2 linked regions of the Elephas maximus indicus genome follow. The protein of the gene in region 1 interacts with the protein of each later gene in a biochemical or structural test. Links are inferred from orthologs where the notes say so. Each region holds a gene or a part of one and is shown on either strand. Other genes may lie near its edges. The genes, in order: ETS2 and ZMYND11.

The links.
Region 2: the proteins of ETS2 (region 1) and ZMYND11 form a complex in vitro, tested with the Homo sapiens proteins (2 studies listed by BioGRID). The link is inferred for Elephas maximus indicus from reciprocal best matches to the Homo sapiens genes ETS2 and ZMYND11.

The regions. Positions count from the first base shown.
Region 1 is NC_064820.1:221,193,628-221,202,341, forward strand, and holds the start of ETS2 (protein C-ets-2), read left to right. Parts: upstream 1-4,529; 5' UTR 4,530-4,747; intron 4,748-8,714. UniProt on the Homo sapiens protein: Transcription factor activating transcription. Binds specifically the DNA GGAA/T core motif (Ets-binding site or EBS) in gene promoters and stimulates transcription.
Region 2 is NC_064822.1:20,702,554-20,711,850, forward strand, and holds the start of ZMYND11 (zinc finger MYND domain-containing protein 11), read right to left. Parts: upstream 4,118-9,297; 5' UTR 3,939-4,117; intron 3,440-3,938; exon of another isoform or gene 3,384-3,439; intron 1-3,383. UniProt on the Homo sapiens protein: Chromatin reader that specifically recognizes and binds histone H3.3 trimethylated at 'Lys-36' (H3.3K36me3) and regulates RNA polymerase II elongation. Does not bind other histone H3 subtypes (H3.1 or H3.2).

The sequences.
Region 1 (8,714 bases):
GAGGTTCGAGTTTACCCAGAGGTGCCTCGGCAGAAAGGCGTGGCAATCTACTTCTGAAAAATCGGCCATTGAAAACCCCACAGAGTGCATTTTAATCTGATACACGTGGGATCGCCATGCGTTGGAATCGACTTGACTGCAACTGGTACACTCTTGTGTAATTTGATACAACCATCCTGCAGGGAGGATGACATGTTGCTGGATGACCCCATAACTGCCTGAGATTCCTTGTATCCATGCCAGCCTGCAAATGAGCATAAGTGGATAGTATAATTATTGTATATATATATCTGGAGGTGAGTGGGTAGAAAGCTCGCCTTTATCAGTGCCAACATGTATTAGGGGAATAAATGCTACAGCTAGACACTACCAGGAGACGCAGGGTAAATAGAAGAGTGAACAAAGGCACCCGAATATACATGAATTAAATAATTTCTATCCCTGAGGGCTTTCTTTGCTTCCTCCGCCTCCTGCCCCCAGGATGTCCAGTCTCATTTGTCTCATGAATTTTGTACGTGAAGTGCACATTTCTTTCTCAACATTTTTATTTTTTTGAGGGCGAGGGACAAGGCTTATTCATCTTTGTCTTCCTGGTCCTGGAGCCTATGTTTACTGAATGAATAAATGATACACTTCCGGCCAAATGACGTCTGTTTAACTTGCAACTTGAAACTACCTTGAATCGTGTGTTGCCTCTATTGATTTGGATCTCAAGGCAAATATGAAGGTATCTCTAAGGAAACGTGTTTCTTTTTTTAAAGAATGACTTTTTAATGATAGTGTCTGGTTTCTAAAGAACGTTTTATCTGTATTTTACTCTCTAGATAATTTAGTATTTGTGCAGACATAGGTTCTGCTATCTCTTTCCTTTTTTTCTTCTCTGAGCTTTATTCTGTCTTAAGGGAAAAGGATTAAGATGACTCTTAAACTCAGCTTGACATAAGCACATCTGATCATTTCACCCTGTGCGTCTTCTGCCTTTTCATTTCCTTCTAACACCTTCAACTTTTGATTTTAAAGTGCAGCGAGCGCAGTACTTAAATAGGCTTCATTTACTGTAAAGCCTGGTGTTCCTTGAGCATCGCGCCGTAACAGTCAATGAATAATCACAGGCTTCAACCAGGCAGGGGTTTAATAACTAGGCTGAGTAACTAGGAAACCAGCTAATAACAAGGACAAAAAAAAAAAAAAAAAAAAAAATTAGGAGCCCCGGTATCATCCCAGAACTAGCATACGTCATTTTATTAAGTTCATGTCACCATCAAACTGTGGCGGTGGAACAGTCACAGCACAGGACCCAGGGCAAGGGGGCTTTGTGGGAAGCAGGGAGCTAGAGGGGCCTGGGTGGGAGTCAGGAGACTAGGCTTGTGTGGACTCTGTGTCCCTTCCGAGTGTGACCCAGGCAAACTGACCTAGCTTCTTCTCCTAGAGGCCTCCACACCTCTTTCAGCTCTGCCATTTTGTCATCCAGGCCATGGTCATTTTGGGTAGGGTTTCACACCAGTGGGATCTGAGACAGTAGGGACAATTTCTTTTTTCATGTGTATGACAATTTTTTCCAAGTGTTTCTCATAAAATGATTCAAGGGGGGAGTTTGGAGAAAGAAACTTAGTAGCTGCCATTTTGAGCTCTCTCAGCTCAAAAGGCACTCAACACTGGTAAGTACTGGGATTTATGTCTTATGACATAGGTTCCATAGAGAGAGAGGGAGGGAGGGGTACGTGGCTGGGTGGGTGGGTGGATGGATGGTTGGATGGATGGATGGATGAACAGACAGATGCCAGTGAGCTGACTCTTTTTCATGGCAACCTGTGTCATCCTCCCAATCAATGCATGTTTGAGTCCATCATTGTGGCTATTAAGCCAATCCATCTTGCCGAGTGTCTCCCTCACCCTCACTGGTCCTCTACTTCACCAAACATGATGTCCTGCTTTGTCCATTGAGCCTTCCTGATGGCGTGTCCAAAGCAAGAGAATAGAACAAAGTTCTGTCGTAACCCATAAGGTTTTCATCGGCTGAGTTTTGGAAGTAGATCCCCAGGCCTTTCTTCATAGTCTCTCTTAGCCTAGAAGCTCCACAGAAAACTGTCCACCACGGGTGATGCTGCTTATATTTGAAATACCCATAGCATGGCTTCCAGCGTCACAGCAACACACAAGCCACCACACTATGACAAACTGACAGATGGGTGGTGGATAGGTTGGTTCCATAATTGCCCCTTTTCTGCAGAGGAGTTAAATAATAGGCTCAAGGTATTCCGAGTTAGTAAGCAGGGGAAGGCTTGGCCATTAGGAAAAGATTTTCTCCCAACTCCAGTGCTCCTTCCATTGATTTCTGTCTCTCAGCTTGTATATGCTTGAAACTGCCCAGTGAGCAAAGCGCTTCTTCCTGGCCCCCATCCTCAAAAGAAGGAAAGACGTCTTCACAAAGAATCAACGGGTCTCCATCTGTCCTCTTTAGGGAGCCCTGGGAGAAAAGTCTGGTGATCTACTTCCAAAAATCAGCCAGTGAAAACCCTGTGGATCCATGACCTATCACGGGAATGGCACAGGACAGGGCATCGTTTCATGCCATTGTGCCTGAGGTCACCATGAGTCGGGGCCAACTCAACGGCAGATTAACAACAGCACCAGGGAGCCTGTCCATCAACCTCTGGCACCAAACATGGGTGGGGAGCAGGCACAGGGGACTAGGCAGTGGCACCAAGCTTCTCAGACACCCGAAACTGGCCGTGGCACCAAGCTTCTCAGACACCATCCAGGACTGTGTGAGTAGCCTGGGGGAAAAGCCGCTGTATTACCTGGAAGGGCAGCCAGATGAGTCAGGATTTTCCGCTATGGTTTTAAGAAAAGAAAAAAAAGGAACACATTGCATCTCCATGGTAACTTACTATGGATCTGTATGCCATTTATAAAACTCCTTCTTGACCTATGTACCCTTTCTGATTCGGGCCTGAACGTACACTGAGAAGCCATCAGAATCAATTCAATCCCCCCAAAACACTGATTTCCCCTTGCACAATGTGGCCTGCCTCTGACATGTGCCATGGTGATACCTGGACACCCTCAAGTGGCAAGGCGCACTAAGGGGCTGCAGTATCTCGGTGATCCGGATAACGGCAGATCCATGGTTGCCACGGAAACCAGGAACCCTGGCTGACAGAAGCTGGACAGTTTCACTCCCTCCCGCGGCACCCTGTCTTTATGATGTAGCTGCTTTCAGTCCTAGGGTCTTGCCTAAACTAGGCTTTTTTAAAAAAATCTCGTACAAATCTAAATTTCTCTCCAAAATATTGAGAGTCTAAGTAGTTAAGTGACTGTGCTGGCAGCAGAAAGTTCAGCTGTTCGAATCCACCAGCCCCTCCCGGGGAGAAAGATGCAGCAATCTGCTTCAGTAAAGATTGCAACCTTGGAAACAATACGGGGCAGTTCTACTCTGTTCTATAGGGTCGCTACGAGTGGGAATCGACTAGACTGCTGTGGGTTTGGTTTGGGATCTAAGTCTAAATAGGAAATGCATACATTTTTAGCCATGGGCTCGGCGCCTTCTGATAAAAATGGAAACCCGCGTATAGGTGACGGTTTTGACCATGGGCTTGGGAGTCAGAAAAGGTCGGGTTGCCATCCTGAATTTCCCATGAGTACCCGCGCTTATGATCCAGTTACTTACCCTAAGATTCAGGTCTGTCATGTGCGAAGTGGCAACAATAAAACCTTGGAGAAATGTCCTGAAGATTAAATGATAATACATGTAGAGTGCTTCGCCTCGAGTGAAAGCTCAGTCGGTGTTGGTTACTACGATAGGCACCGCTCAATTCTAGGGGGCGCCCCTCACACGAGGGCTATGGAAATGGAATTACCCTGAGTAGCGCAATTCGTTGTGCACAATAAACTTGGTGGTGAGCCAGCAAAGGGCCCAGATCGTACTTGTTACCTTCATTTAGAGTCTTTTCATGACCCAATAACTAGAAATCTTGGATCCAGAGGGAGGTCCAAGAATGGGCCAGCTCAACTTTCGAGGGCACCGCCCAGGGAGATCTTATTAGCCAAGCGCCGCGACCACCCGTGTCACCAGCGCTCTTCATTATTCTCTTCATGCTGAATTCCAATGGCAGGTTTGGTGTGAAAGCCACAGGGATCAGGAGAGGAAACTGATTCTTCCCAGGAAAGGCTCTCCCGGCACACATCCTGAGTCCCTGGGACAGAGCCAGGTGACAGCGGACGCGGGAGAGAGGGCCCCGCCGGAAGGAGCTTGCTCCTCCCCTCCTCCGCTCCTCCCCTCCTCCCCTTTCTCTTCTCCCTTCTCTTCCTCTTCGCTCCGCTCTTCCTTCCAGCTTTTCCTTCCTTTCTCCTTTCTCCCTTCCTCTCCTTTGCCTCTCTACTCTTCTCCTCTCCTCCCCCTCCCTCTCTTCCTTTCCCTTGTCCCCGACCTCCTTCCTCCTCTGGTCCCCTCCCCCGTTCCCGTCCCTCCGCCTCCCCTCCTCCCCTTGTCTCCTCCCCTCTTTAGTCCCTCCTCTTCGCGCTCCTGAAGAGCTGCGCCGCGAGGGGACGGGCCGGTATTTCCTCCTGCTGCCGCGAGGAACACGGTGCACCCTAGGTCGAGAGCCCGGCTTGCCGCCCGCAACCCCCGGAGCGCCCCCGTCCGCCACCCGGTCCGCGGCCCCCGCGTCTTCAGCGTTCGCCCTCGCCCTCGCCTGGCGCGCACCCAGTTACCGCCGCCTCCGTCCGCGCCGGCCTGCCCGCAGGGGTAAGAGCGGGGTCCCTCCTGGAGCCCCCACCGCGCCGCAGACCCTGGAGGGCGCCGGCTAGGCGTCCGCTGAGAACCGCCTCCTGCGCCCGGCTCCTTTCCCTGGTAGGGGTGACCCAGAAACGGGACGGGAGACGCAGGCGACACCAAGATCTGGATCCTGGAGTGAACCAGGGGGTCAGGGTCGGGGTGGCGGTCCTCTTAGAATCCGAGGGGCGTGCGCCTGAGTTATCCTCACAGGCTTGTTTTCTCGGTACCGAGTGGCCTTGGGGGTGGCGGAGCGGCCGAGGGCCCGGCGGCAGGGTCAGTGCCGAGGTGCCCGGGCGAGGTTGCCCGGGGCCCCGAGACGTGCCGGCCCGGGCCTTGCGCACTCGGGCGGTGCCGCCGGGTCGCCGGGCGGCCTCCCGGGCGGGGTGCGGGTCTTGTTTCGCTTTGCTTGGCTTTGTTTTCTAAAAGGCATTCCGGGCCCGGTGGGGTTGTTCTTTGCCCAGGTTTCTCGTCCTGCGGGTGCCCAGGGCGCCTGAATTCACTAAGGGCGTTGAGAACGCAGAAGGGTGTCCGGGTAGCTCCCGCGCGCAGTCCACGGGCTTCCCGGCCCAGGCGCGCCCCGGCTTTGTGGGAGACTTTCTCAGGCGCCCCATTCTGGGGGGCGGTGCCGGGCCCGGCAGGGAGGTTGCCCGGATCGGGGAGGGGGGGCCCCGGCGCGTAAAGCGGAAATGCTACGGCACCCCGGAGCGCAGGGTCCCCAACTGCTCGGCCAAGTCCAGGGCCCAGCCCGGGCGGCAGGCGAGGGAGGCCCCAGGAGGGTGAACGGGTGGCGCCCTCTTGTCCTTCCGCTTGGGCGAAACCCTTACGGGTGCCCGAAAACCTCTGGATTCGGGGTCCCCTCGGCCGACATTGGTGAGGGAATGGGGGACCGGGAGGCGTAGGCTGCCTTTATTTTCTTGAAGTATTTTGAAGGAAAGAGTAATCGTGAGCGTTTGCGTATGTGTATTTGGGGGCTTTGGGTTTCTTTTTTTTTTTAAGTTCAGGAGGCTTTTAATGCTAGACGGTTCTAAATTTCAGGGTAGACTGAAATAGCAGTTGTGCTACTTTAGAAAGTAAATAGGTGAGCAGGCCCCTTTGGAGATAGGAGTAATTTATTTTATTTCACCAGCAAGAGATTACATGTGTTCCATGGGATGGAAGTGATGTGTGTTAGCTGCCTGCCCACACCGCCAGCAATCACCCATATAAATCTCTAAGTTAAGGTTTATTAAAATTCTGAGTAACATCGCAGTACAATAAATGTTAGCACCGCGTATCCCGCAGGGAAATCGATTCAAACACTCATTCCTGAGATTAGTCATTCATCTCTAAACTGATAACTTTCCAAGTGAAAAAAGCAAAAGGTACCTTCAAAAGTGTGAAAGGCTTGTTTCATTTTGTTTTTCTTAAGATTTACCTAAGTGCAAACCTGTGTTCTGATCTCACATAACTGATTATTTGTTCTAATAAGGGTACTGCCGTCTGGCAGGTTGTCCTCTTTTCGAATGTTACCACTGTCGGCCATTCTGTTCTGCCATTTCCCCCCCTTTTTTTGGTTCAAAAGCAGTGATCAGTATGGCAACACCGAAATGACCTAAACATGAAGTTGATTAATGTGGAGGAACTTGGCATGCCTGTCACTTTAACAAGCTGTGTTGAGTAAAATAAGTGAACTTAAATTTGATTAGTGATGTGTCTGCCTGAAACCATTTAGTCGAGCTCTTTGATTCTACATGGTTTTTTTACAAAACTCATTAAGAGCTGGACAACAAAAGAATTCTATTCTGTAGCTAGTAATTATACCTCTTTATGTGGGAGGGGTAGGCTGCCTTTTCTCTCGGTATTTGTACACAAAAGCTAGGCAGAGCTTTTCCGTGGCCGTCCGCAGCCTTTCTCTGTCAGTCTCTGTGAAGTTAGAACATGTAGGATAAAGCCGGCAGCCTACTAACCAAAAGGTTGGTGGTTCGAGGCCACCCAGAGAAGGAAGGCCTGCCTGGCAATTTACTTCCAAAAAATTAGCCATTGAAAACCCTGTGGAGCACAGTTCTACTCTGACACACACATGGGTTGCTATAAGTTGGAGTTGACTCGACAGCAGCTGGTTTTGCTGGGTTCTGGATAGATACTGGACAAACCCAAGATGTCTATTGTCTTGGCTCGGGCCTACTGTCATAGTATCTGTTTGCTGTCTCTGCCTTATGGTGATGTGGAGGCAGAAGGGCACGTGCCTGGCACAGTGGGTTAGGACCACATGCAACGGGGATTTGGTCCCTCGTCTGCTCCTTAGTAGCCCCGTGGTAGCTGTTGATCCAGGGCCAGTTAACACCTGGGCCTCCAGTGCCTCCCTACAAGATGGCACACTGTCTCCAGCCCTGATGTTGGGGAGGTTCAGGGAAAGGGTGCTTAGGGCTGAGTGAGTAGGCGTCTGTCAGCGCTGGCGAGCCTTAGCAGTGAGCACTGATTCTTGAGAAATGCGGACGGCAGAAGTGACAAGATGGAGATTCTGATCCAGCGTGGCCACTTTTGATCCCAGAACAACCCTCCCCTCCCACCCACCCATGGGGTGATTATCAAGGTGTTCTCTCTCCTGTCTTGGCTGCTGTGATAATTACCTTCAGGGCAAGGGACTTTACAGCCTTTCCAATGTCTCTTGCCTCCCACACTGCCATTTTAGGGGTGTGTGTGTGTGTCTCCAGTATCCAGAGCCCAGCAAAACCAGTTGCCATCGAGTTGATTGCAACTCATGGCAACCCCATGTGTGTTAGTGTTGGGTGGCAGGGTTGTTGGGAGGTGTGTTTTAGTTATAATGTTGTTCATAAAGAGAAAGTAAGAAAGCACACAGTTGAATTTAAATAGTTACATGGGAATAGGCTAATTGCTGCTTCCAGTAAGTTATATAAATTGCCGAGTATTTTAACTCCTAGAAGTTCTTGGTTGTTACAGGTGGGAGCACCCAGTAGAGTGGGGGCAGGTTAGGGGTGCCCCCATACAACTTTGTTATGGACCTTCAGTTCCGTAGCCATGGAACAGGGAGGGTGAGGGATGCCCCTCGAGGTAAAGGTTGCTGTCACCTGTGCTAGGCCAGCTGCCATCCAGTTGACTCCGGGTCATGGTGACTGCATGTGGGTCAGAGTAGAACTGTGCTCCGTAGGGTTCTCAGAGGCTGATTTTTCTGAAATAGATTGCCTGGGCTTTCTTCTGAGGTACCTGTGGGTGGACTCGAACCTCTAAACTTCTGGTTAGTAGCTGAGCGTATTAACTGTTTGCACCACTCAGAAACTCCATCATCGGTACTAACCCTGGTAATTCGAAAATGAGTTTTAGTCATTAACGTTTTGTTTAACACTCTGGTAGTATTTTTTTTTTTATTACTATGTAACTTTCCTGTCCAGACAAGCAGTTTTAGGGTCCCCAAATAACTTTTGGGAGCCCTTGTGGCACGGTGGCTAAGTGCTATGGCTGCTAATCAAAAAGTCAGCAGTTCAAATCCACCTGTCTTCCTTGGAAACCCAATGGGTCAGTTCTCCTCTGTTCTATAGGGTTGCTATGAGTCGGAATCGACTCGACAGCAATGGGTTTGGTTTTTTGGTGTTTTAAATAAGTTTTCAGCCTGTTACAGCACTGTCCAGTTGCAAGCCACGTATGTCATTTTTTATTTTCTAATAGCCATGTTAAAAATAAACAGGTAAAATTAATTTCAGTAAATTTCATCTAACCTACTATATTCAAGACATTGTATAAGCATGCAGTAAATATAAAAATTATTACTGAAACATTTTACTTTTCTCCTGCTAAGTCTTTGAAATCCAGTGTGTATTTTATACCTAGAACCAAAAAACCAAACCCTGTGGCTGTCAAGTCAGTTCTGAGTTATGGCAGCCTCAAGTGTTACAGAACAGAACTGCTCTGTAGGGTTTTCTTGGCAATAATCTTTATGGAA
Region 2 (9,297 bases), on another chromosome or scaffold:
CTATACTGGCAGCTTTTGAAAAATGCTGGTGGGTATGCAGTACTCATATTCCTTCTTGTACTAGAGTAAAAAATAAAAACAAAAGCTCTCAAGATAAAAGGACAGAGGAAACACTGTCCTTCCAACCTTAGATCGCTTAAGGTTAGAATTCACGGGAACACAGAACAGCCTACATCAGGACACAGTAAGGAAATACCTTTACTGAGACACCAACGGGAAAATAATGCATTGTTCTAAAGGGCTCAACTTGTGTTAAAACCTATCTTCCCAAGTGATACTAAAATGTAGGAAAGAAAGCATGTAACTAACACTTACCTAGTGCTTACTATGGGCCAGGAACTGTTTTAAGTGCTTTAAAAATATTAACTCATCTAACTGTCACAATAACTCTATGAGGTATGTACTATTATCATCCTTGTTCTTCCGATGGGAAAATGGAGACAAGGCTTGACAAGGTTAAGTAGCTGACCCAAGGTCACTCTGCTGGTAAATGACAGAGATAGGATTCAGGCCCAAGCTGCCTGGCTTCAAAGTCTGGGCTCTTAATCATTTTGTTACGCTGCCTCCCCAATCCAATGCTAGGAAAAAAAAAAAAAAAAAAATCTAATCACCATGTAAAATAATGCAATGCTACATCCAAGTTCAGGTTTTCAAACACTGTAATGTTTTAATCAAGACCATAAGATGGTCCATTTTGTTCTTAAATGTTTTCTGCAGATACAACCTCTTTGTTTAAATGTAACGATGTTCTCCTTAAAGAATTCAACTGAAGTAAAAGGAAGGTAAAGAAAGTTTTACCCCAGGGGTTATGGCTTTAAGTAAGCAAGGTAGAACAGTATTTGATACTTCTATTACAAATGTTAAAACTCTTAGTTAGATCCAATTAGTGTCTTAATATTCTAAACATGCTCAATTAAGGTATGCCAAAGGATATGAATGCCTCTATTATTATACCCTATCTGAACATTCCTGAGAAGAAAGGGGATACAAAGGGGTGAGAGTTCACATAAACACATGTCAATTCACTGAAACGTGCATGATGACATCCACGAAGTGCCAACATAATGATATCCTAGGAATATGTAGTATGATCTAAAGAGCTAAATCTAACACTTTAACTAATTTTTCTTTGTAAAGCTGGAAGCACTTATATGTATGTTTATTTGAACACCTTGCAACAGGTACTGCAAAAACAAATAGCCTAATCTACAGAATGTAAAAGGGGATTATAGAACACAAATATTAATGCTTGTCACAGACACTGATCCTTCAGTTTTCAAGATCTATGAAAAAAGGTACTGTGTAAAATATAGAAATCCTCTGTTAATCAGAGGTAGAGTCAAGCAAGATATTTTATTGATTCTGTCATAATTACAAAATAACACATCCCGTATCTTCTGATCTTTGATTTTTAACCTTGTCATCCTATAAAAAACAGTTGACCAAAACAATGACTGTAATGTACCTAGCCCCAGTTAGTCGAAGACAAGGAAAATATGCCTGTACAGAAATTAGTATTTTATCTCTCGCTTGTATAAATTAGATATTCAGGCAAAAAAAAAAAAAAAAAAAAAAAAAAACTACAAAGATGACCTTGCTTCCTCAAGATTTTAAACTCTGCAGGTACACCAAGACTATCACCCTGAGAACTTCCAACCATTAGTTAGAACCAGTGACCCAAAGGCCTGAAATTACTAAGCTAAAAACTACTATATTTCTGTTTAAAAGAAAACAAGGAAAAGCTTGTTTTCTTCCATTCAACATATAAGCAAATCATATTATTTTTAATAATGCACTTGTCTTCTATACGAAACCAAAGTTCACAGTTATTCTTCCATCAAGGCTTATTGTAGGATGCAGAAGGACAAGGGTGAGGTAGTGCCAACTCCCTCATGTTAAGCACCTCAGAAACTTAAAGAGGCGCTACTTTTTCCACTCCATCAGCCACCTGCTTCAGCAATTTCCCCCACAGAATGCAGTGGTTTCCTAAAAACACTACTCTTAGACATTTATCAAAATGGGCTTTCCTTGTAAAGGAATGCTTCACACACTGCACTACCTCCCTCCCCAGCCTGCTTATTTCAGAATGGAACATAAGGCTGCGTCGTGTTTTATATGTACACATATACACTATAGTACATTCTATACAATAAGTGTGCCTCTACATGCCGGGTGTGGGAGAAAGCTTGAGGGGAAACAATTTACATAAAAGTTGTCAGTGCCAAGAGACTCCAGTGCTCCACACCTGCTACGTAGGGTCCATGGTCCTTGTGCCCCTTGCCTCCCAGAAGGGGCCAGTGAAGCAGGACACTTCCCTTAAGGAGTTCCCACCTCATCTCAAAGAAACTTAGCCTTTTAGGCTTGCCTGTTAGGGGCTTCCCCATGAACTGCGGCTTTCTCCAAATCCTCTCGATAGGAAGAAAAGTGGTAGATTACTCAGGAAAATCCTAGAGCCTAGATCGTGAGAGACACAGGAACACCATACAACGTGGGAGGAGAGAAGTTGGGGTGACGGTGGTGCAACCAAGGAATTCTTTTCCAGAGACAGGAGAAAAGGAACCTGTTGACGAGGCAAAGGGCCTCGCTTTTATTTGTTGCTGCTCTATCCAGGGTATCTCGCCCCCCGCTCCTGGGATAACCGGACTGAATCCCTGCCTCAGTCCTTGGGGGACAAACCCTACCCAGCAGCTGCCATTGCTCCCCACACAACGAACCGCGACAGCAAATGCTTACACCAGCCCTCGTTTCCCTCCCTCTCCCCGCCCTCACCACACATACAATCCACGTTCCCTTCGGACCCCGGCCAGCGACCGTGTCCCCGAGAGGCCTGGGCCGCGGGCGAGAGAGCCGCAGGCGGCGCGGTGCAGGGGCCGCTCGGCCTCCTCACGCGACTCCCCGGCTTCCCCGACACCGACAAGGCCCCTGCGCAGTTCTCCTGAGGAGCCTCTCCCGGGAACCCGGGAAGGCGAGAGGGGTCGCGGGCAGCGGCACACGCTGTCTGCAACAAAATCCCACAACGCCCGCCCGCTCACAGCCGCCTTGGCGTCCCCGGCCCGGGGGACCCCTGCCCGGGAGCGTCCTCAGCCCGCCGCACACAAAGCTCCTCGGGCAACTTTGACACGATAGGCGAGAGGGGATCTATCACTACCCCCCGCCGCCACCCCCAAAAGACTGCAGGCTGGAGCGGGGGTCAGAGGCACAACAATACCGGGTCACCGTAATCGCCATTAATACTCATAAGCAGCCCCCCGGGCAGAGCCGACAGCCGCTCCCCGCCCGCGCCCACCTCGCCCCCCGCGCCGCGGCCCGCTGCCCTCGCCCCCATCACGGCCCGCCGCCCCGGGCCTCCCCGCCCTCGGCAGAAGCTCATTTCTTTCCCCCACCATTATGCTCTGGCTCCTCGCCGCCGCCGCCGCCGCCGCCTCGCCCGCGCCCTCCCCCACCCCTCTCTCCCCGTCCCCCTCGGCACCGACTCGGCGCCCGCCCTCCTTCCCCAACCACCAACCACCTCTCCCGGGCCTGGGGCCGCGCCGGAGAGGCCGCGCGGGAGCAGCGGGGGACTGCGCGGGGCGCCAGGCGCGAGCGCGGGTGGGCGCTGGTGCGGCCCGCGGCGCCCGCCCCCGCCGCCCCGGCCTCCCCGCCGCGCCCGGGCTCCGCCGGCCAGGGGACTGGTGGCATAGGATTTGGTAGTTTGAGCGGCGCCATGTTTATAATCCTCCATCACATCAAACACACACGGAGACACCCGGCGAGGGAAGAGCGAGATGACTGAGGGCGGCCCGGGGCGCGTGTGTGCGGGGTGCACGGCCGCCGGCCCCGGGGGACCCAGGTGCCGGAGCGGTGCGCGCGGGGAGGGCTCGCCGCGCCGCCGTGTCCCGCCGGCCCGGCCCGCTCGCCGCCCGCCCGCCCGCCCGCCCGCCCGCCGCTTCCCCACTTACTGTCTCGTCGCCGGTGCTGCTGCGGCGGGCCGCTCTAGAGCCGCGAGCAGGGCGGCGCGGCGCGGCGCGGCGCGGCGCGGGGGACACGGGCCGCGCCGCGGGTGGAGAAGTTGGAGGGCGCCGCAGCTGCCTGGGGAAAGTTTTCGGTCCCTTCCCGAGGCCGTGCCTCCCGCTTCACATGTTGGTTGTTGGGTGTGTGAGCTTTTTTTTTTTTTTTTTTTTTAATCCCCTCCTCTTTCCCCCCTTCTTTCTCTTTTCACCACCCGCCCCCCCAAAACCCGCGCACTCACTCCCTCTCCCTCTCTTTTTCTCTCCCCCTCAGAGTTTTATTGTGTCTGATTTTTTTCTTCCCTTCCTCTGTCTGTCCACACAGTTCAGATTTCTGGGGTAAACAGGGTTTCAGATGTAGCGAGGAGGAGTGGGCAGCGCGGGCAGAAGGAGAACTCTAGCGGCAGTGGCTGGACTTGCTTCTTTCCACCCAGGGAGTTTTTATGTACATTCATATTATGCAAATAATATAGAGGCGTTTTTACGTATTCACACTTACCTTCCCTCCCTTCCTATCTTTGGCGCCTCTATCCAAAAGTTGTCTTGGCATAGTGTTATAATCCCACAAGTGCATTTTATACCAGTACATACATGAAAGATACATCCATGCAGGCACGCTTGAGTAAAAAGCAGGACACACAAAGATTTAAACACTCGTGTCATTGCTAGGTTTCGACGGTAAGAAGATGTATGCAACTCTCGGCCAAGACAGGTTTTTATGTGGGGTGTACCTGCTTTGTAGTTTAGGTTGTATGGAACTGCAAAGTCTTTGAAAAGCGTTAAGTTTTAAAATAACAAAATTGGTAAAATAGTTTTAATATCTTTTTAATCCCATCATAAAAAGGAATTGCAGGGATATGCTGAATCTCATTCCATGTATATGCAAATATGACTTCAAAGGAAAAAAAGGACCATCCATTGTCAGTTTGGCGAGAAAGCTACAAGTTTGTGTGAGAAGTAGGTTATCTTATAATTTGTAGTTTGTAATTCTAGATCGGACCAGAGAAGATCTATTTAAGAAAGTCTTGGAGATAAGCATGTATTTTCGGTTTCTCATGTTTTCTCCAATGACCTTTCTCTACTGGGACAATTCAGCCACAATTTCATACAGATTATTATTGGATATGTGTACCTGAAAATCACTGGGAAGAGACTAGAAATTCTGGGCTTCTAATGCAATTTATCGTTACACTTTCACAATGGCTCCTACTCTCATATAAGGTCGCTATGTGTCAGAATCCACTTGAAACCACAAAACAACACTAAACTAGAACATATGAGTGCGCCTGCTTGAATAGGTGGTCTACAGTGTACGCCAGTCACTAACGTTATATTCCAAATGCCAAAGAAACAATTTTTAACCATTCACAGACCTGGTTCTGATACATCTGAGAGAGTTTTTAGTTATCTCAAGGAACATCACAAATGTTAATTAATTTTAAGGATAAAATTCAGCAGAGGGGTTAAAGATTGTCAGAAAAAAATCAAGCCATGCCTGGTTTAAATGCTGGACTAGAAATTCCAACAATGAATTGCTTTAGTTTAAGTAAATCACCTTAAAAAAAAAAGTCTGTTACTGCATCTAAAAACTAGAGGGACCACATGATTGTGTTTACTTTGCAGAGGTCACTCAAGTGAGGTAAGGTCGTATATGTATAAAAGGAAGCCTTTTAGGAAGGAAGCCACTGCATAACTCCACATTTTTATCCAATTATATTATGTAGGCATCATTTCCATTTTTTTTTAACCTGGATACCATCTCTCATTCTAAGTTAGATAACGTAAACGTACATTTCTTATGATTTTGCATAGAATTTAACTCTTGTCTCTATTTTCCTTTCAAACAATTTATTTACCTCACTGTTCCTCAGCTGAGTGATTATGTGTGTGTTGGGGGGAGAGGGAGGAAGGTCCAGAAGACCAAAGTAGCCATTTCCACATAACCTAAATTATACCATGAGTTTATTTACCAGATTGTGAAGAGGAAAAAAACAGGGCTAAAATGGACAGAGTGAAGCGGGGAAAAAGACGAGTAGTGGAATACAAGGAATAGTTTATGTCAACTGAATGTTTTTGAGACTTAATCAGTTGCTGTTGAGTTGACTGGCTGATGGGAGCTCCATGTGTATCAGAGTAGAACTGTGCTCTGTAGGGATTCCAATCTCTGGTTTTTAAACTTTTTTTTTTTTTTAATTGAACTTTAGATGAAGGTTTACAGAACAAACTAGTTTCTCAACAAACAGCTAGAACACACATTGTTCTATGACACTGGTTAACAACTCCACGACATGTCAACACTCTCCCTTCTCAACCCTGGGTTCCCTATTACTGGCTTTCCTGTTCCTTCCTGCCTTCCAGTCCCTGCCCGAGGGCTGGTACGCCCCTTCAGCCTTGTTTTGTTCCATGGGCCTGTTCAATCTTTTGCTGAAGGGTGAACCTCAGGAGCGGCCTCATTACTGAGCTGAAAGGGCGTCCGAGAGCCATACTCTCAGGGTTTCTCCAGTTTCTGCCAGGCCAGCAAGTCTGGTCTTGCTTCTTTAGTTAGAATTTTGTTCTACATTTTTCTCCAGCTCTGTCCAGAACCCTGTATTGTGATCCCTGTCAGAGCAGTCAGTGGTGATAGCAGCGAACATCTCGTTGTACTGGACTCAGTCTGGTGGACGCCGTGGTAGATGTGGTCCATTAGTCCTTTAGACTAATCTTTCCCTTGTGTCTTTAGTTTTCTTCATTCTTCCTTGCTCCCGAAGGGGTGAGACCAGTGGAGTGTCCTAGATGGCTGCTCACAGGCTTTTAAGACCCCAGACACTACTCACCAAAGCAGAATGTAGAACATTTCCTTTATAGACTCTGTTATGCCAACTGAGCTAGATGTTCCCCGAGACCATGGTCCCCACAGAATGGCTAGTTTTTAAGAAGTAGATCACCAGGCCTTTCTTCCAAGGAGCCTCTGAGTGGACTTAAACTTCCAACCTTTTGGTTACCAGAAAGCGTTAACTGTTTGCACCACCCAAGGACTCCTTTAGAGACTTAGCACCAACTGGAAGAAGAACCCCCATCATAACTTTCTTAATTCTTCCTTCTTACGTATCAAAACTCTTTATACTCAAGTGTAAATCATATCACATTTTTCGATATTCCACTTTGAAAAATATTACGTAAATGGAGAAGGCTTGCAATATTCAACACACTGGGTGAAAATTTTTGTCTCTAAAAAATAAATCAAATTACATCCCTAACTGATGCTATATACCAAAATAACTCAAATGACTTGAAGAATATAATGGTAAAAATTGAAAACCATTCTTTAAAAGCTAAAAGAAAATATTGTTGTTGTTAAGTGCCCTCCAGTTTGTTCCGACTCATAGTGACCGTATGTACAACGGAACGAAACACTGCCCGCTCCTGTGCCATCCTCATGATGGTTACACATGAGCCCATTGTTGCAGCCACTACATCAATCCATGTTGTTGAGGGCCTTCCTCTTTTTCACTGACCTTCTACTTTGCCAAGCATGATGTCCTTTTCCAGAGACTGGTCCTCCTGATAACATGTCCAAAGTACATGAGACAAAGTCTTGCCATCTTAGCTTCTAAGGAGCATTCTGGCTGTACTTCTGCCAGGACAGATTTGTCCATTCTTCTGGCAGTCCATTGTATACTCAGTATTCTTCACCAACATCTTAATTCAAAGGCATCAGTTCTTCTTTGGTCTTTCTTACTTATTGTCCAATTTTCGAATGCATTATATGAGGCAACTGAAAACACCACGGTGTGGGTCAGGCGCACCTTAGTCCTTAAGGTGACATCTTTGCTTTTTATCATGTTAAAGAGGTCTTTTGCCGCATATTTGCCCAATGCAATGCGTCTTTTGATTTCTCGACTGCTTCTTCCATGGCTGTTGATTGTGGATCCAAGTAAAATGAAATCCTTGACAACTTCAATGTTTTCTTCATTTATCATGATGTTGCTTATTGGTCCAGTTGTGGGGATTTTTGTTTTCTTTATGTTCAGATGTAATCCATACTGAAGGCTGTGGTCTTTGAACTTCATCAGTTAAGTGCTTCAAGTCCTCTTCATTTTCAGCAAGTATGGTTGATTTTTTTTTTTTTTTTATGGTTCTGTCATCTGCATATTGCAGGTCGTTGATTAGTCTTCCTCCAATCTTGATGCCCCATTCTTCTTCATACAGTCCAGCTTCTTGGGTTATTTGCTCAGCATACAGATCAAATAAGTATGGTGAAAGGATACAACCCCGGCAAACACCTTTCTTGACTTTAAACCACTCAGTATCTCCTTGTTCTGTTCAAACAACTGCCTCTTGGTCTATGTATAATTTCTTCATGAGCACAATTAAGTATTCTGGAATTCCCATTTTTTGCAATGTTATCCATAATTTGTTATGATTCATACAGTTGAATGCCTTTGCATAGTCAATGAAACACACGTAAACATCTTTCTGGTATTCTGTGCTTTCAACGAAGATCCATCTGACATCAGCAATGACATCCCGTGTTCCATGTCCTCTTTTGAATCATTCTTGAATTTCTGGCAGTTCCCTGATGCTCCAACCGCTTTTGAATGATCTTCAACAAAATTTTACTTGTGTGTGATATTAATGGTATTGTTAAATAATTTCTGCATTCTTTTGAATCACCTTTTTTTGGAATGGAAAGAAACATGGATCTCTTCCAGTTGGTTGGCCAGGCAGCTGCCTTCCAAATTTCTTGGCATAGATGAGTGAGCACTTCCAGCTCCACATCCATTTGTTGAAACATCTCAATTGCTATTCTGTCAATTCTTGGAGCCTTGTTTTTCACCAATGCTTCAGTGCAGCTTAGACTTCTTCCTTCAGTTCCATTATTTCTTGATTATATGCTACCTCCTGAAAAGGTTGAATGTTGACCAGTTGTTTTTGATACAGTGGCTCTATGTATTCATTCTATCTTCTTTTGAGGCTTCCTGCATAGTTTAATATTTTCCCCGTAGAATCCTTCAATATTGCAGCTTGAGGCTTAAATTTTTTCTCCAGTTCCTTCAGCTTGAAAAATGTCAAACGTGTTTTTCCGTTTTGGTTTTCTAACTCCAAGTTTTGCACATTTCATAATACTTTACTTTGTCTTCTTGAGCTGCCCTTTGAAATCTTCTGTTTAGCTCTTTTACTTCATCACGTCTTCCATTCACTTTAGCTACTCTGTTCAAAAGCAAGTTTCAGAGTCTCTTTTGACATCCATTTTGGTCTTTTCTTTCTTTCCTGTCTTTTTAATGGCCTCTTGCTTTCTTTATGTATGCGGTCCTGGATGTCATTCCACAAC